Lytechinus pictus: one gene and its partner. The protein of the gene in region 1 interacts with the protein of each later gene in a pairwise test. Links are inferred from orthologs where the notes say so. Each region holds a gene or a part of one and is shown in the gene's direction. Other genes may lie near its edges.

Region 1 (10,853 bases):
ATTACCATTTCGTCCATTTACCATTTAGTCCAATAGCCAGTTGGTCTAATAACCATTTCGTCTATTATCGATTGGTCTAATAGCCATTTGGTCTATTGCATTTTTGCCAATTGGCCCAATAGCCACTTTGTCCATTTTTATTACGTCTATTACCATTTAGTCCAATAATAATAATAATAATACTAATATGTCCATTTATATAGCGCAGTTACTATGTGCATATACTCAACTGCGCTTTGATACTTGGTATAATATTATGATAACTAAGCCGCCATATTAATAGGCGATAAAGCGTTCAAGGAATAAATCCTGCCGGGTACCCATTCACCTCACCTGGGTCGAGTGCAGCACAATGTGGATGAATTTCTTGCCGAAGGAAATTACGCCATGGCTGGGATTCGAACCCACGACCCTCTGTTTCAAAGTCCGAAGACTAATCCACTTTTATAGGCCACAACGCTCCACGATAGCCAACTGGTCTAAAGGCAAATGGTCTAATCCACTTAGTCTACTTTTATTTCATCTATTCCCAGTGGCGTAACTACGGGGGGGCATGGGGAGCACGTGCCCCCCCCCCCCCAATCGGCTGGCCAAAAAAAAAAAAACGGGGAAAAGGAGAAAAAGAGGGAGAAAGGGAAAGAAACGTAGTGGGAAAGAAGAAATTATTGTTAATTATAATGGTATATTATATTATGATTATCTTATGTTATATTACATAAATAAATTATAACTTTATGAAACATAATTTGCACAGGGCCTAGTCTTCATTTTTCCTGGTGCTCGCATTGCCTGTTTAACAATATATATAATCTTCTTGTACTAAAACCTCCCGTTTTCAAGTCAATATACACCAAATATATTTTCTTAGACTTCGAATTATTATTGTTTTATGTAGTGACATATACTTTTTTTTTCATGACTACTTAAAGTGATTGCCCGATTTTAAGGTCTTAATATAAACCATTTCCTGTCCGTACTTACGTTCGCATTCGTGGATTGGTGAGATATGTCTGTTCTTCATGAATTTTCTAAAATCAGTCCTTAAAATGTCCCTTTTTCTGATCTGAATGTAAAAAATTTCAGCTTGCGCTTCGCGCTCGCATCATTTGGTTAGTGAAATACGCATGGTCTACGTGAATTCTAACAAAATCAGCATTCGCTTGGCACTCGCATTAGATGACTATGGTGAGATATCTGTACTCTTAATGGAATCCTTTAAAAAAATAAATAGTCCTTATCCCTCTTTTGGGTCAATATATACAAAAATTTCAGCTCGCGCTTCGCGTTCGCATCATTTGGTTAGTGAACTACATATGATCTACGTGAATTCCTACAAACAAGCCTTGAAATATCCCTCTTCAGGTCTGACTTTCCTAAATTTTCAGCTCGCGCTTCGCGCTCGCAATATTTGATTAGTGAGATGCGTATGTTAATTATGATTACAATGACTACAAGTGCTTCATGTGTTTAGATGTATATTATTCTAACAATATCAGCAAGCGCTTTGTACTCGCATTAGATGACTATGGTGAGATATGTATACTCTTAATTAATGCATTCCTAAAATATTGTCCTTAAAATGTCCGTTTGGGGTCAATATATACAAAAATTTCAGCTCGCGCTTCGCGCTCGCATTATGTGATCAGTGAGATACATATCCGTTTAATGACACTGTCCTTTAAATGTCCCTATTATGTCAGTATACCTAGCAACTGAGCGAGCTTCGCGCGCTCTATAAGTGACTCATAATTTTTGCTGGTGCCCCCCCCCCCAATGCCGTGACCCACGGTACGCCACTGTCTATTCCATTTGGTCTAACTGCAGTTGGTCCTCTGTCACTTAGTCTAAACCCATTTCGTCTAACAATCATTTCTAATTGCCATTTAATTGCCATTTGGTCTAATCACCAATAGGTCCAATTGCCATCTCGGCCAATCATCATTTCGTCATATATTTTCGTCATTCTACTATAGCAGCCCTACGTGTTCGGTACATGTGCTGACTCGACTCATGTTGCTGTTGTGTGATTTATTATTAATTTACACCTGTTGTTTGCTTAATCTGTTATAAAATTGTAATTGACGTATCTAGCGGGGGGGGGGGGGGGGGCAAGGGGGCACGTGCCCCGGGCACCATTTTCAGGGGGCGCAAATAAAGAAAAGGAAAACAAAAAATGAAGAGAAAAAGAAAAGGAATAAATTAAGGCGCAGAAAAGGAAAACCACTGAAGGTGATTAATACCCCCGTCCCATGCTATTACCATGGTAATGCAGTTTCCAACACATTTAGAAAATCAATCTTGCATGTCTTTACCCAGGGATGAATTCGTGCCAACTTTTGATTAGTGATATATATACTCTCTTCAAGAATTCCAATACTCCTTACAAAAAAATTCCTTTTCAAACGCAAATGTCATAACTTTTCATCTAGTCTATTTGCGGGTTTGCATTTTGTTACATTATTCTTCATTTTATTCTTACAAACAGTTCTGAAAAACACATTTTCTGATTCAATTGTCAAAGCGTTTCACCACGTGCTGATTTGACTAAAAGGGAGATACAAATCCTCTTCATTAAGTTTACAAACATTCATTAAAACGACCTTCGACCCTTTTTAGGTGAGGACATAAATAAATAAATAAATAAATAAATATATACATATATATATATATATATAATCACAAATGGTTTAGAAAATGCCGTAGAAATAAAATCGTAGATTTTAAAAGGAGCATAGCTCTCAAAAATGAAAGGTAAAGTCACACTCTTCGTCAGTGCCCATGATGTGACAAAAAAAAAAGCGAATTCAAAATCCGTTTCTGAAACAGTCGTGAAAAACACGTCTGTTCATGGGCATACGGATTGTGAAACTCACCACAAAGAAATCAATGCGCTGAAGATATATATATTACGCCGATCAGATATTATACTTCTCATGAATTCCTACAAATTTCAGCTTACCCATCCTGCTTGCATTATATAATTGCTTAGTTATCGTGAGATTATTTCTCCCTAAAATGTCCCGACTGCCGGTCTCGATATCAATCATATTCAGCTCGCGCTCGCATTACTTGTTTAGCATGTTTAGATATGCATCATGTTAATGATTACAAAATAGGCTCGCGCTTCGCCCTCGTATTAGGTCGATTTATTTACAGAGATATACCTATCATCTCTTTTCTAAAAAGGGTCTTTTTACATGTTCCCTTTTCAGGTCTGAATATCAATATTTTTCAGCTCGTGCTTAGCGCTCGCATTCATTGTTTACGATAATTAGATACACACAATTTTCATGAAAATAAAAAAACTTATAATATTCCGTCTTGATATTGAAAAAATATTCACTCTCGCACTGACCGGTCGAGTGTATAATACACTCAAGAGGCGCGATTTTAGCGCTTGCCCCGGGCGCCGTTTGTCCTAGATACGCCACTGATAATACTGTGCAGTATTTTAAACTCCATTATAATAATGTTCTTACGCAAGATGAACAGGCAATGCCAGGGAGCACCGACCTAGCGAAAAATGTATGATATGGAAGAATTTATATTTTCCAGGTCTTCCCCTCACGTTTCATTCACTTGTCTTCCTCCTCTTATTTTATTTTATATTATACCTATTCCCTTTTCTTCCCCTCCGCTTGCCCACTTTTCTCTCCTCTTTTTTTTTCTTTCATTTTTTGTGCCGCTGTTTTTTTTGGTATTAAAATGATGTTTTATTGGTCACTTCAAGGTACATTCAATTCAATAGAGTTGAACAAGTACAAATGATACATCATAAGAAATTACATAACAGTTACGTAGCATATAAGTGCATATGGATAACCACTGTATCAATTCATGTCTCGCCATCTGCGTTCGTGGACACTCCTTTTGTTATTTCGAATAGCTGTAAATGTTTCCATTTTATACGATCGATCTAGTTAACAAATAAACACAATCACAGAAACTGTTGGTGTACATGATTTTCATCTAAGATAAATAGATTTCTTTGCAATAACTAGAAAAGGATGAAAAAGAGAATATTTTTTGATAACGCACCCATTACACTTTTTCCGTTCAAAATGAAAAATCTGTAAATGGACAATTCCAAAATGAATGTTCGATCGTTTCATTTTCTGCATTACCTTACAGAAGAAACATAAGTCTAAACGTATTTACTGGACGCTCATATCTTTCTGCCACCAATATATCATAAAAATGTTTACTTTTTTTTAATTTGTTTATTTACGTGATCAGTGGCGTACCGTGGGTCACGGCATTGGGGGGGCACGAGCAAAAATTTTGAGTCACTTAGTGAGCGCAGCGCGCCCAGTTGCCAGGTATACTGACCTAATAGAGACATTTTAAGGACAGTGCCATTAAACGGATATGTATCTCACTGGTCAAATAATGCGAGCGCGAAGCGCGAGCTTAAAATTTTTGATATTCAGACCTAAAAAAGGACATTATAAAATTCTTTTGTAATCATGATACGTACCTGTCTCGCTAAATAATGCGAGCGTGAAGCGCGAGCTGAAATTTTTGTAAATATTGACCCCAAACGGGAAGATTTTAAGGACTATATTTTAGGAATCCGTTAAGAGTATACACATCTCACCATAGTCATCTAATGCGAGTGCCAATAAGCGCTTGCTGATTTTGTTAGAATTACATCTAAACATATGCACATAAAGCACTTGTAATCATGATTAACATACCCATCTCACTAATCAAATCTTGCGAGCGCGAAGCGCGAGCTGAAAATTTAGGAAATTCAGACCTGAAGAGGGGCATTTTAAGGCTTGTTTGTAGGAATTCACGAAGACCATACGTAGTTCACTAACCAAACGGTGCGAGCGCGAAGCGCGAGGTGAAATTTTTTGATATTCAGATCAGAAAAAGGAACATTTTAAGGACTGATTCTAGGAATTCATTGAGAGCAGACATATTTCACCAATCCGCTACTGCTAACGTAAGCACGGACAGGAAATGTTTTATATTAAGACCTTAAAATGGGGCAATCACTTTAGTCATGAAAAAGAAGCATACTTGTACATAAAACAATAACTCGAAGTGCGAGGAAATATATTTGGCAGTTTGGTATATATTGACTTGAAAACGGGAGGTTTTTTATCAGGGTTATATATCTCGGTAAACAGACAATGCGAGCTTCAGGAGCAATGAAAACATAGGCCCTGAGCAAATTATGTTTCATTAAGTTATGAAAAATGTTTCTTATGTAATATAACATAACATATTATTATGAAATAATATAACATTATAATGAACAATAATGTCTTTTTTCCCACTATACGTTTCTCTTTCTTTCTCCCTCTTTTTCTCCTTTTCCCCGTTTTTTTTTTTTTTTTTTTTTTTTTTTGGTCAGCCGATTGGGGGGCACGTGCCCCCCCATGCCCCCCCGTAGTTACGCCACTGTACGTGATAGAAAAGAGAGTGAAAGAAGAATTAAAACTTATAGAAATACATAAAAATTCATAAAAACGAAAGCGGAAGGAGAAAACAAAATATACATATGAGAATTGATAGAAGCATTGATGGAAATATTAAAACAAGGATATATATTTAAAGAGAGAGAGAGAGATAAAAATAGAATCAGAAAAATACATAGGAGTTGTTGGAAAACTATAAAAAGGAAAAGATGAGGAAAAAATAGAATAATGTTTCAGAATTTATTGAGCACGCGTTTTTTCCCTTCACTGATATGTCCATATAGAGATCAGGGGCCGCGGGACGGTTAAAAAAAAATCACAATCATATTTTTTTACGTTTTGGGGGGATGAAGAAAAAATAGAATAATGTTTCAAAATTCATTGAGCACGCGTTTTTTCCCGCCCCGCTTCCACGGCCTCTGCATTTACTTATCCTGGTATGATTCGCTCATTCTTCGCTTGCTAGCTCCGATCCAGATCCCAGAATTCAACGCGGCGACATAATAAAGAGTGGGTCATCACGCCACGCCATATGATATAGAGTGGGTTTTCGTAAAACGACCGCTGATTGGATGCTTTCAATTCGATACTGTGCTGTGATAAATCAAATAAAAATGTTTGTTAGAGTATAAAATGATATTTAAATGATCTAATAACAACTTGTAACAATAAAATCATTCAATAAAGTGATATTTATGAAATTTTATGAATCAAAACAATTTTTCAGAAAAATGATTCAATAAATAAATAAATCAGATATCCAATCAGATGACATTTCTTTAGTACAGTTCATCAGGCGTTACGTGTGCATGCGTTCTCGACAGAACTCTGCGTTTGTGTGCAAGGACTCCGTTCTAGGAGTATGGTGCTGCCAACCTTTTACTTTGAATTAAATTAATTTAGTCGTCATAGGTTTAGAATTTATTATATTATAGTTCTGTTATTTAACCTGCATACATAGAGTCTGTTAAGAGAAATCAAAGGTGACAAAATGAGTGAGATTGAACCATCCAAGTTGAAGGTCGCGGAGCTTCGCGCGGAACTGCAAGCGCGTGGACTCGATTCAAAGGGAGTGAAAGCTGTCCTTGTTGATCGACTTGAGAATGCTTTGCTTGCCGAAGCCGAGGAAGTGGGGAATGAGAACGAACCCGCGGAAGCAGACGAAGATGACAATTTTGACGAAGATGTTGTAGAACTAGCACAAGAAGCACTACCAGAAGCAGAGCAAGGATTTGGCGATGAGTTTGGATTTTCAGGGGATCAGGATGGAACCAGCCAAGAAGCAGATGATCTCTTGCAAGCAGGTTCGTGAATTCGGCCAGCCCAAAAAAGCCAAGGCATGCATGGCCAAGAAAAGTCTTGTCCATCATAGGCCATCTTCACTCCAATTTATGAATTAGGCCTATCCAAGACTAAGTAAAATAAAGTGAAGTTGAACTTGAAGTTCCCATTATTAATTACATTCCCATTAATTACATTAAATAATTCCCATTAAATTCATTCGGATATTTGGCTTGCAACGATGCATGCAATGCATGATGCATGTTATGAAATAAATAATGGAGTATAATTCTAGGCCAGAGTAGCCAGGCGGCTTCTTGAGAGTAAAAATCATTTACTAACGTAGGCTTACTCTCAGTCTCAATGAAGCCAGGTCTTCTCATTCACCTACACGAAGGACCCCAAAACCTGAAACTTTCATCCCCGAGATTTCTACTTCTAAAATATCTAGGCCTAAAAGGTTAGCCCTAAATCATGTAGGGCCTACATGGGATAAAACTTCATTTCCGACATTTCTACGCTCTCGTTATTTTTAAACAAGAATTCATCAAAAAAATGAGAAAAATATTGTGAAAATCTTGTTTCCTATTGTTCTTCGCCAATGTTACGCAACGCACGCGACCGTAACGTTGGCGAAGAACAATAGGAAACAAGATGGCGGCGTAAACATCTGGCAAGCAGAAGGTGTAAAAAGTTGAAGGGGCCCATCATACCAGTGCAAAAAACCTTTAATCACTTTGTATTTTGACCAGAACATTTTCTCTCATTTCAGGTGAAGAGGGTGGAGATGACCAACTCTTGGCAGACTTGGAAATTCCTCCAGCTATGGAGGAACCGGAAGCAGAAGTCCAGCCAGAACCACAAGAAGAAGCTATGGTGCAAGAGGAGGATGCCATGCCTCAAGTTACAGAAGCTGAACCAGAAGCAACGGATGAGCAGGGGCAAGTTGAACAGCCACCAGAAAGCATGGAGCAAGAAGCCCAACCACAAACAGAAGAGAAGGAAGGTGAAAATAAAGAGCAGTCTGGGGATGGTAAGGAAAATACACGCTCTGAGAATAGCATGTTTCCCATTTTCCTTTTCTATGACAAAAAAAGTGTATTCAAGATTTCTATTTTCTTACACATTTGCAATTGTGTTTGTGTCAAGTGTAATAAAGTACCATAAATGTTTGAATTTTTGTAATTTATAGGGGACAAGAAAGAAGAAGGTGACAAGGATAAAGAAAGGAAACGCGACTATGAGAACAGGAACCGTGATCGCCGATTTGGAGGCAGAGATAGATCTCCCAGGAGAAGGTGGGTGCGAGTAATAAAGACTTGTAAACAAGTTACTTAACATGTCCTGTGATGATTCTTACACTGCCAGTTCTGCTTCTGATTGAGCACTCAAATTTATGAAGAAACTGAACTAGTGTTACTTTCTGAGGCATTATACTGTTACACATTTGTAATTTTTTCAGTGGATTTTCATTTTTGCCATAGGGCATTGTTTTATTTTTTACATTTTCATTATCATTACAAGAAAGATATACAACACACCAATTTGAGCATGTGGGACAAAGTCACATACTTTGGATGGTGTTACATCCTCAGATGGGGGGGGGGGGGGGGTTGAGGACAATCAAAATTAAATTTTGTTTCTGTAAATGAAGTTTGCTGTGAAAGAAAAACATCTGGTTCTTTCAAGTTCTATTTACAAATATAAATAAAATCTTACTGTGTTTCATCCCAGTTAAATTTATGGTAACAAAATATGTATATTTATATATTTTTTGTGTTGTACCCACCCCCCAAACAAAGAAGTTTGACATTGGATGGTTAGATGTGGGATTCCAAGATGGCCTCTTGCATGAAAAATTTACTTTTAAGTGCAGATTTGGCTGATTTTTATCTTTATTTGGGTATTTTAAATTGTTCAACTGTAAAAAAAAAAAGGAGGGGGGGGGGGGATATCAACAGTTCAATTGGTTCTGCTTGTACTTGACAAGGATGTACATAAAACCATCCAAAAAGTGTGGCTTTGTACCCACATGCTCAAATGGGTGTATTGTGCCTGAGAAGTAGACTTGAACAAAAATGCAATCTTCCATCTTTTTCGAAAGAAATTTGATGTGATACTCTTTCTCTTAAATTACCATTCTAATTACAATGAATTTAGAAAAAACTTTAACTTACAGGTTTTAATTGATTTTGTTTTTCTTTTGATGAACATGTAATTCGGCCTTAGTTTGGCATCATACATAGTTCCCTAATCATTTACAGTCCTTCACGTTTATAATTTCATGGAGCTCAATAAATCGCTCTCCTTATTTTTCTGAGGAGCTCAATTGAGCTCCTCAGAATCGCTCTCCGTGAGGAGCTCAAATCAATTCATTACAATACATGTATGATAAATTGTAGATTTTTCTTAACATTGTATATATGCAGTAGCTGTGTTAGCTATTAATTAATCTGTGGTGAAACTAGGCCTGGGTCACGTCAATACGTTTACAAGATGTCGTATGCGCTACTGCAAAAAAAAAATTGAAAAAAAAAAAAAATTGAAAAAAAAAATTGCTAAAATTTTACATTTTACATCTTTAAATCCATGAAATGGCCTTCTTTTTTCCATAATACCTTGAAATTACTTTGATTTAGTTGAAAACTATCAGAAAAATGAAGAATATTCACCTCTTTCCCGACTCTGATTTGAACTTACCTCAGTAAATATTGTAGTCCCACATGTAGACTTTCATGGTGCTGCCATGAAAATCTACATATGGGACTGCAAATATTTACCGAGTTTAAATTAAAATCAGAGTCGGGAAAGAGATGAATATTCTTAATTTTTCTGATAGTTTTCAACTAAATCAAAGTAATTTCAAGGAATTATGGAAAAAAGAAGACCATTTCATAGATTTAAAGATGTGAAATTTTAGCAATTTTTTTTCTTCATTAAAAAAATTTTTTTTTTAGGAGCGCGATTTTTTGCTATCCTTATTTTTTTTAAGGAGCGCGGTAGGAGCGCCGGCGCGATCGCGCTCCTCAAAAATGAAGGTCTGCATTTCAGAATCATTTGTTGAAAATTTTGGTAACTGCTTTTGCTCGATTTCAGACGAGTACCAGCTTGCTTAATCCACAATGTTATGGAATGGGGAATTCCCCATTCAATGCAGGAAGTGAAAATGCATGAATTTCAAAGCAGGAAGCAAGTTTAGCGTATGTGTACCAATGTCTAAAAATGATTTGTGTTATGAGTTCACAAAGATACTGCATTTAGTGTAATATACAATTGCAACCAACTTTATCCTTCTTACCTTCAGAACACCCCCTCCTGTGGTTATGGAAGAAGATGATGATATACCAGATACACAGTGTGTGCTCAGCAAATGTAAGTTCATTGGGATTTGGATGACTGCTAAATACATGTACCGTATGTATCCTATGGAATGTGAAATCTAAGTTTTGCTTCTGATTTATTCCATGCATTCATGGGAATAGGTGAAGTGTTATTGTTCTTCCACCTTTTGTAGGTGGTTACCAGGGGCATTTTTTCAGATTAACTTATTGCTACAAGTCAACTGTTTCATGGATAACCTAAATGAAGAAAAGATGCATCCCTGTAATCTAGCTTCAAACTCTGGGTCGTGCATACATTTAGGAAGGGCATTGACCTTGTTAGATAATGGTGATCTATCTTTTTAGTCAAGTAAATTTGAATTAGCATCACTCTGCATATTTCATTCTGGCGTAAATATTTGTCACTATTTTTTCACATGTTAACGTTTGTAATTCTGTGATGAAACATACACTGCCAGTTCTGCTTCTGATTGAGCACTTACAACCATGAAGAAACTGAACTAGTGTAGCTATCTGAGAATTGTGATGTAATGATCTTATCAGATTCTTATAATCATGTAATGGCATATTAGATATGACCAAGGGGACTTTCCAAGCAACTTGGAAATCAGATTTGGTCTGATTGAATGACAGTAGTATGTTTTTATTAAACAATTTTGGTCAAATTACAACATGGGATGTGATAAGGAACAAAATTGTGACTATTCTTTTCTTCTATGAATATATTTCTTTTTTCTCTATAGACCTTTCTGACTTGAATCTAAAAATTGGCAAAGATGGCTATAATGCATGTCCCCTCAGC
Region 2 (9,935 bases), on another chromosome or scaffold:
GCGATAATGGATGGGGTGCAGAAACAACTAAATATAATCTATGTATATTGATGGGTACCAAAACAAATGATCATGAGCACTGACCATTCCATGAAATTCGTGATATTCTATTTTACTTTCTTTATCATTTTTATATTCATATTTCACGATATGTCCCTAAGCCATTGACATCATCCATGAAAGTGTAGGCCTATATCTGGGAAATGTTGACCGAGCCAAACACGGAATTGTATTTTTGTTTATCGTCTTTGGTCAAATAGATTTTACATCTTTGTATTCGAAATCTCTAACAATAGTCATACAAAATACTAATTCATAAAAAATGTAAATTTAGTTATGGTTATAAGTCAACCGCGTAGCCAGGATTTCATTTTGGAGGGGGCGGTAAATGCACGCAAAGCGTGCCAACACTTACAGAGCGCGCGCCCTAGGGGGTGGGTGCAGGGAGGGGGAGTTTCCCCCTCCCGCGCGAAGCGCGAAGCTTTTGGTGTTTCATAAATTAAAATGAAAAGGAGCCGTCTCTCTTGTCTCTAGTACCTATATATCAGCTCCAATTCAGTTGACTATATTGTGATTTTGAACCTTGTTTTAAAACAAGATTGTGAACGCACAAAAAAGGAATACAATGGAGGAAATGAAAATGATAATAACCCCGCGCGAAGCACGGAAACTAAAGCGTTTTATTAATTTTTTTTGAATGAAAATGGTCCCGAGAAAAGGGTATTCTCAAACACATATTGAATACTTCCCTTGGAAAGATCAGATTTGATTACAAACAATTTAGCGACAGTGAATATCTTTAACTCGCAAAACAGAGGAGAAGAAGTGTATATGCCGGGAGGAAGATATTCCTCCCCGCGCAGAACAACGAAACTCTGAAATTTCAAAGGGCGGACGTTTCATCAAATGCGGATATCTCCAATACCCCATCGGCTCTAATTCAATTAATTTTCTAAGATTATTGAACTTCATTACAAGGAAAATAGTGCGCAAAAAGTTGAAACTTCTGTGATTTATTGAAATTATATAAAAAGGATACTTAATTTCTTTGACTTATCCTGAAGCGCTTCATTTTGAATTATAAAGAAACTTTAGTGTCATTCAAAATTTCAAACTGAGGGCGCAAAACAGGACAGGAGATGAATGTGCAGGGAAATGACATGAAGTTTAATAGAATTTGATAAAAAATATTGTACTTTTTTATTTAATACGATACGAATTTTATACCTTCCTCTTTTTAAATTAGGAACCTGTTTGCCCCAAAACTTATGGTTGTTTAGTAATGAGCTGAAAAGCGGGAGAAGTTGACTTCATGGAGGTGACGGCAGAAATTGATATAAAGATTTCACCCGCCCGGAGCCGACCCGACCAGAAGTTGCGCGATCAATTAAAAAAAAAGATAACTTCATATACTTCGGCCTATTAAACCTTACTCTAATTCCATGCCCTAATGTATGCATTTGAACTTTAACTGGCAAGAAACACATATAGCTGAGGTGGAAAAACAGGGTTAGAGAAAGGGTGGGGAGAACAATGGAGATCTTCAATATTGTCATTTAACCACGCGCAGCGCGGAAGCAAAATTCATATATAAATCTAAAGCAAGAGTGAAGGAGTTTCTCTTTTGAGAAAAAAAAAAAAAAAAAAAAAAAAAAAAAAGCTACCTTTCTTCCCTTTCCTCCCTTCCCTTTTCCTTTTCTCCTCTCTTTTTTCCCTTCTCTTTTTTTTCTTTTTGGGGACGTTTTTTTTTGGGGACGACCGCCCCCACCGCCCCCCCCTGGCTACGCGCCTGTTATAAATCAGGATGGAAAACAAAATGGATGAGGACAGGCTTAATATTTGTTTGTTGGATGCACGGATCGTGAATGATACGTTTTGCAGTTTCTATCGAAATCTACATGTTTTATAGAATTATTATCTTCATGATCCATAATCAAATTATTTCAGAGGGTCCCGAGGAAGACATATTAATTATGTATGGTTAATCTTAAGCGGGTGAATCCTATGAGTTAATATTTTCTTGATGTATGATAATTCAATATGGTCATAAAGTTCCTTCATTAGTCCATCTGTGGATTGTCGGTATTTGCAACCATCCATCTTTTAATTGGATATTTGTCTACGTAAAGTGAACAAGTTTTTTTGTATTATTAATTTTTGATAGGCCTATTCACTTATAACTGAATATAAAATCACAATCAGGGGCCTGTAACACAAAGATTAGCAATGAATTTGCTACGATCGATTGCATTGACTACAATGTAGCCTACAATCAATCGTGAAAATCAAGCGTACGATTAATCGCTAACCTTTGTGTATAACGGGACTTAGATCATGGAGCCATTGCGCAGATGGACATTTTACGGTAGGCATATATAGGCAGCGCCTAAAGGCCACCGCACACCTTAAGCCCCTTTCACAATTGACGTACGACCTGTTTACGACCACCTGCAACAGTTTTTTCTTGTTGTTGCACGATCGATCTCTTGGTGTCTTGCGAGCACTCGCAGTGGTTGTAGACGGTCGCACGAACTCGAGGTGGTCGTGACTGGTCACATCTGAACTTTGAACATGTTCAAAATCCGAACGCGATCAAATACGACCGATTCACTCGCATCAGCTCGTATCCGGGGTCGTACCATCGGTCGGGCGATCATCGTGGGAGTGTTGTTCAACGTTGCACGACTTGGTGCGAGAGGTGGCACAACTAAGTAGTCGCATTTACTCGACTGGAGGTCGTACAACACTTGCACATGTGCTAGCGACCTACATGTACAGAGACCTGTCTTGCGACTGGGTGCGATAATATGATGGCCATAAGACTGTTGCAAGACCGATCGCAACGGCTTACAACATTGCACTACCGTTGTGTGCGACCGTTCCCCTCGCAATCCCTCGTGCAACACTCGCATGTGATCGCACGAGCACAATAGGATCATAAGCGACTTACTCGTGCAACGGGTTTTACTGATTGTTTTTGTTGTACGACAGCTGTTGCAACTGTGAAAGCCTCTGTGCGATATTATGAGATGACTGGCGATTGATGCCTGTTGCAGCCTGTCGCACGACCAAAAGGTCGCAAGTGGTCGTACGTCAATTGTGAAAGGGGCTTTACGACTGTTCGCGATCCGATTTTGGAACAAATCGCATTTTGCTCATTTTCTGAAAATGTGAATGGAACATATCATTTTATTTGAGGTTAAAATTAATTAAAAGAATACTGATATAACCATTTTGAAAGATTGCAAGCCTTTATTTTGGAGTGAAGGCCAAATTAGTTTCAAATCGTAGCCAATCGTACGACTGCTATTACGTCATTACGACTAGATATTAAATTCGCTTTTATTCTAAGAACTAAGAAGGATGATAGCATAGTCACAGAATTGAACATAGGTATTCGTATGATGATTTAGAACATTACGCAGTAAGATATTTCAAGTCTCAATATTAGCATCAAATTCTACTACATTTTATTCTGAAATCGGGTCGCAGATCAATCGTAAGGTGTGCGGTCGCCTTAAAGTTTGACGTCCACTGAGAGAAAATGGGGTGGTTAAGCTGCAGAGAAATGTGATCCGTGATGCATCTCTATCTATATACTTCTTTTGCTGATGGCCATGATGCGATCAATGATCCCGGTTTCACAATGGTGTTAATGATGATGAGGTGATCCCAGGCGCGTAGCCAGGGGGGCGGTGGGGGCGGTCGCCCCCCAAAAAAAAACGTCCCCAAAAAGAAAAAAGAAGGGAAAAAAGAGAGGAGAAAAGGAAAAGGGAAGGGAGGAAAGGTAGCTTTGTGTTTGTTTTTTCTTCTTATTCTTTTTTTTTCTCAAAAGAGAAACTCCTTTTCTCTTGCTCTAAATTTATATATGAATTTTGCTTCCGCGCTGCGCGCGGTTAAATGACAATATTGAAGTTCTCCATTGTTTCCCCCACCCTTTCTCTAACCCTGTTTTTCCACCTCAGCTATATGTGTTTCTTGCCAGTTAAAGTTCAAATGTATATATTAGGGCATGGAATTAAGAGTTAGGTTGGGCCGAAGTATATGAAGTTATCTTTTTTTTTTAATTGATCGCGCAACTTCTGGTCGGGTTGGCTCCGGGCGGGTAAAATCTTTATATCAATTTCTGCCGTCACCTCCATAAAGTCAACTTCTCCTGCTTTTCAGCTCATTACTAAACAACCATAATTTTGGGGCAAACAGGTTCCTAATTTAAAAAGAGGAAGGTATAAAATTCGTGTCGTATTAAATAAAAAGGTACAATATTTTTTATCAAATTCTATTAAACTTCATGTCATTTCCCTGCACATTCATCTGTCCTGTTTTGCGCCCTCAGTTTGAAATTTTGAATGACACTTAAGTTTCTTTATAATTCAAAATCAAGCGCTTCCGGATAAGTCAAAGAAATTAGGCCTCCTTTCTCGTATAATTACAATAAATCACAGAAGTTTCAACTTTTTGCGCACTATTTTCCTTGTAATGAAGTTCAATAGTCTTAGAAAATCAATTGAATTAGAGCCGATGTGGTATTAGATATATATGCATTTGATGAAACGTCCGCCCTTTTTTTTTGAAATTTCAGAGTTTCATTGCTCTGCGCGGGGAGGAATATCTTCCTCACGGCATATACACTTCTTCTCCTCTGTTTTGCGAGTTAATGATATGCACTGTCGCTAAATTGTTTGTAATCAAATCTGATCTTTCCAAGGGAAGTATTCAATATATCTTTGAGAATACCCTTTTCTCGGGACCCTTTTCATGGCAAAAAAATTGATAAAACGCTTTAGCTTCCGCGCTTCGCGCAGGGTAATTATTATTTTAATTTCCTCCATTGTATTCCTTTTTTGTGCGTTCACAATCACTTTTAAAAACAAGGTTCATGAAAACAAGGTTAAAAATCACAATATAGTCAACTGAATTGGAGCTAATATAGGTACTAGAGACAAGAGAGACGGCTCCTTTTCATTTCGATATATGAAACACCAAAAGCCCTCCCTGCACCCACCCCCTAAGGAGCACTTCGCGCGCTCTGTAAGTGTTGGTTGGCACGCTTCGCTTGCATTTACCGCCCCCTCAAAAATGAAATCCTGGCTACGCGGTTGGGTGATCCATAATCTGATGATCATGCAGGGTGATGTTGATGGTGATGATGACGGAGAAAATGAGATGATGATGATGATGATGATGGTTATGGTGATGGTGATGATGATGACGATGATGATGATGATGGTGGTGATGATGATGATGATGATGAAGGTGATGATGATGATGGTGATGATGGTAGTGGTGGTGGTGGTGGTGGTGGTGGTGGTGGTGGTGTATATGGGGTGATATTTGATGATGCATTATGGTGGTGGTGATGATGCTGCTGATGATGATGATCGATGATAATGTTGATGATGATGGTGGTGGTTGTCAGGATGAAGTTTGATAATTTCTTTACCTATTCCTCCTCTACTACTATATTGGTTTTGTTCAGAAGCGGCGATAGTAGAGTAGATTTGAATTTGACCCCATTTGATTCCATTGGGGCGTGCTGCCTTTGTTGTAGACGGCCGATGGTCGGTCGCGTCGGTATTATGGGGCCGCACCGAGGTCGATTAGTAGTCGAGAGCGAGACGACATCCCAATGCCATGAAAATGGGGGATAGATCGGATGGAAATTCAACATCATTTACAACTTGCAATGGAAATGAAAATCAAAGTGGAGATTGCAGTCACATAAATGATGGGGATGAAGAGGATTATGAGCTAGAAATCGTAACCGCTGTCGCAGATTTCTGTGCAATTGACGATAGCCAGGTATGAGTGCAATTCCTTTCTGTAGTCCCACGTGAAGAAATTAATGTTCTATCTATCTTGATTATGGTTAGATTCGTAAGTCATGATTTATCATTTTGTGTTATTATTCGTTTGGCATGATGTGAGCCCGGGGGGGGGGGGGCAGTCAAATGTATTGCTGTACACATGCGTGACCAAATTATTTCCAAACACCCCCTAAACAAGTTTTTTTTCTCCGTGTGCAAAATATCAGACTACCAGACAAGGGTCCCTCACCGTACACACCAATTGAAGATCTCTTCATCAGCTTACGAGGAGTGAATAAACAACTGAAAGAACTTAACACCAACAAAGCCAGTGGTCCAGATGAAATACCTGCTAGAATGTTAAGAGACTATGCAGATGAGATTAGCCCAGTCCTTACTCATCTCTTCCAACAATCCTATGATGAGGGAATTCTTCCAAGTGATTGGCTAAGAGCTCAAGTGGCCAGCATCTACAAGTCTGGCGACAAGAGTAACCCAGCCAACTATAGACCGGTGTCACTCACGTGCATCTGCTGCAAGATCCAAGAGCACATTGTATTGAGCCACATGTCAAAATACTTGGAAAAGAATAACATCATCAACCCAAACCAACATGGATTTAGGAAGGGACTGTCATGCGAAACGCAACTTGTTGAGGCCATCAATGACTGGGCATACAACATCGACCAGCAATGTCAGACAGACGCCTTCTTTCTTGACTTTAGTAAGGCCTTTGATAAGGTATCACACAGGAAGCTGCTCTACAAATTGGAGTATTATGGCATTACTGGTCAAATGCATGGATGGATCAAAGCTTTTCTATCAGGCAGATCTCAGTCAGTTCATGTTGATGGAACATCCTCACCACGAGCCAGTGTACTCTCAGGCGTGCCGCAAGGCTCAGTACTCGGGCCTGTGTTATTCCTGCTGTACATCAATGACATCTGTGAATGCATCTCATCACCAATCAGACTCTTTGCTGATGACTGTGTGCTGTATCGCAAGGTCAAGACAAGAGCTGACCACGCAATTCTCCAGCGAGATCTTTCAACATTATCAGATTGGGCAAAACTGTGGGATATGTCCTTCAATGTCAAGAAGTGTGCCCACATGTGTATCTCATTGAAACGACAACCCTTGGCTTGCAACTTTACCATCAGTGACCAACCTGTTCCAACGGCAACCTCCTGTAAATACCTCGGTGTGACCATCACAGACAACCTGAGTTGGAACTCCCATGCACAGAAGATATCCTCCAAAGCTGCTCGTACTCTTGGAATCATACGTCGAGCATTGGGTAAATGTGACCTGAAAGTGAGAGACATTGCGTACAAGCAACTTGTCAGACCTCAACTTGAGTATGCTTCATGTGCATGGAATCCTCACATACAGAAAGATGTAAACATTATTGAGAACATTCAACGTCAGGGTGCTCGGTTTGTCCTTCATGACTATAGCAGAGAATCCAGTGTAACATCGATGTTGTCAACTCTTCACTGGGATACTCTCCAACACAGACGCCTTCTTAGCCAATGTGAGATGTTCTACAAAATTCATCACAATTATGTTTACATCAACATGCCACATCAGATTAAGTTAAGCAGCAGTTCTCGTCCACAACGTTCACAACACACTGGACATCAGCTCAAGTACACCCAGCCTTTTTGTAGAGTGAACTGCTACATGTACAGTATGTTCCCAAGAACCATCCGTATTTGGAATACTCTCCCAAACGCTGCTGTAACTTCGACCTCTATAGCTGGCTTCCGGGGAGCAACATTGCCTATCATTCAGCAAATGTTGCCTCCCCCTCCCCTTAAGATGCTGTAAGAGGGACACACACGCACCACCCGCACACTGCACCTAGCACACTGTATATAGTGCACCAAGAATACCACCACAGGATCACCACATCACCTGAAGCACTGGCAGCACCTGACACAGCACAACCCTCTCCAGGACAGCGTGTACGCTTTTGGGAGAGTACTTCTTCAAGATTCAAGATCCCCTAACAAAAGACTAGAGTAGAGTCTAACGTTAGACTAAACAAGTTTTTCGCGGGCTTTATTTACACCGATTTACACATTGGCCCCTAAATAGGGTGTCTGACATGTCTGAAGCCACACTGAAAACTGTCAGCATAAAACAGGCTGATTTAGGGGAAAATATGGCACATTTTTTCGGAAATTCAGGCTGCTACTAGTGCTAGAAAAATGTGATCTGAATTGATTATTAACTTGTGAGTTGTGTTTGGCATGTATGGAAAGAGAAAAGTCAGGGGCTTCTTTTGACAGTAAGGACAATTTTATAGGATTATTTGAAATAAGGATTTAGAGATAAATTGCAAACCCTTATTTGTGTGTTGAGATTGGCATTTCCCCATGTGTTTTCTGTGGGAAAATGAAATTTCTGTTTTGCACAATTTTTTTCACTTTGTCGCAATTTTTTATTGTGATCTTTTTTCCAAATCTTTATAAAAATCATACCATTAGAAAGAACATAAAAAATCTTATTGAACTATTTATGGACAAGTTTTTGGCATTAATAATAAATTAATAACAGCTCTCGGCCTCAGAAGCTAAAAATTTGGATTTGTGTGTGTCCATTTCTTAACTACACAGTCCATGGCAGAGAAGTGCTGAAAATTGACCTAATTTCATTCTTCTTTTTTGCAGCCAATAATTGGATTTTTCTTTAAAATGTTACATTTCTGTCAGTCTGAAGGTTATTTCTCTTCAAATTCACAAAGAAAATGTCATATTTTCATGAAATAAGAAAAAAAAAAAAAATCTCCAGAAACCCTACCCTAAACAAGTTGTCACCAGAATATGACCCCAGGGAAAAAGCTTGGGGTAAAAGCACAATTCACCCTTTTGATGGGTGAAAAGGGGCGCAATAATAAAGAGAAAATAATAGTTAGTGCATATACTATAATCGCTTTACAACTTTTCTGAAATATATGCTGGAAAATACTGAATTATTATGACAAACATTGAGGATCAGGTTCTTCTTTGATCATTCACCATCAATACCGCTGAGCGTACAAAAGCACCAGCCAAAAACGTCTGTGTTACCATTTTCAGTTCATGAACTGAAAAAAAATAGGAATTTCTGTGTGATGCTCTGGAACAGAAATTTAGGCTGAAAATTTAGGTTTTGACTGCAGCACATACGTATCATACATTTATACAAAGTACCCCCCCCCCCCCGGTCACGTACGTGCAGTCGCCGCTGGCTAACGTCAGCTTAATGGACGACGCCATACTGCCAGATTTGGCCCGCGCCCTCACCGGCTAACGCTCGAACGCCATTCATCCATACACTAATTCCTTTTGATTACCGTTGATAAAAACCTCGTTCAAATCTTTTCCAGAATTCTTATGAATTAGCGATGGATGTTTTTCCGTTAATCAAATATCCTTTATTATACCAATATTTTTTTTATATTTATAACATTTTTATTTTAATCACAATTTCAGTCCAAACGCGGGTCTGTTTTTGTGAACCCACGTTGTTTGTGCATGCCCACGTATGGCCTTACGCGTATTGAAAGGAATGATGTTGGGTCGAAAAACAGAATTGTTGTTATTGTTTGTTCCGTGTTTGTTGGGGATGAAACTATGATGGCGACCAGTCACGTTTGACTGTACCGCCAGATAGTTAAGATTAATTAATTAAGGTCAAGGTGAGATAAGAGAAATGAGCAAGGGGCTTTGTGGTGGGGGGGGGAGGGAGAGAGAGAGAGAGGGGGGGGGAGTTAAGAGGGCCGAGTGGGGATACAGTTTCATCATGCAGTACAGGGCGTCGATGAACACCTTAATTTTTTTCTCCAAAATATGGAAAGTGACAGAATAATCAGAAAAAGGTTGATTGGTTCTGATTTTGAAAAAAACAAAAAAACAATTCAAACAGAATTAATCAAGATTGCTGTTATTCTTCATGGTTGTAGAATTTAATTTAGTTTCTCTGATAAGTTCTTTCAAACAAATCAAATTTTGATTAATCGTATTTGATTTATTTCACTCTTTTCTTTCGCCCCGTTTTTTTTTCTTCCAAAAAATCAGGGAGCTGAAAAAGATGACAGCTAAAACCTAAAGATATGGGGGTAGCTATGACCTTGGAGAGGGC

The links.
Region 2: the proteins of heterogeneous nuclear ribonucleoprotein U-like protein 1 (region 1) and protein arginine N-methyltransferase 2-like interact in a two-hybrid assay, tested with the Homo sapiens proteins (2 studies listed by BioGRID and IntAct). The link is inferred for Lytechinus pictus from reciprocal best matches to the Homo sapiens genes HNRNPUL1 and PRMT2.

Annotation. Positions count from the first base shown.
Region 1 is NC_087251.1:23,710,729-23,721,581, reverse strand, and holds the start of heterogeneous nuclear ribonucleoprotein U-like protein 1, read left to right. Parts: upstream 1-6,195; 5' UTR 6,196-6,420; coding exon 6,421-6,733; intron 6,734-7,482; coding exon 7,483-7,743; intron 7,744-7,902; coding exon 7,903-8,008; intron 8,009-10,014; coding exon 10,015-10,082; intron 10,083-10,794; coding exon 10,795-10,853.
Region 2 is NC_087245.1:21,604,411-21,614,345, reverse strand, and holds the start of protein arginine N-methyltransferase 2-like, read left to right. Parts: upstream 1-5,589; 5' UTR 5,590-5,634; coding exon 5,635-5,802; intron 5,803-9,935. UniProt on the Homo sapiens protein: Arginine methyltransferase that methylates the guanidino nitrogens of arginyl residues in proteins such as STAT3, FBL, histone H4. Acts as a coactivator (with NCOA2) of the androgen receptor (AR)-mediated transactivation.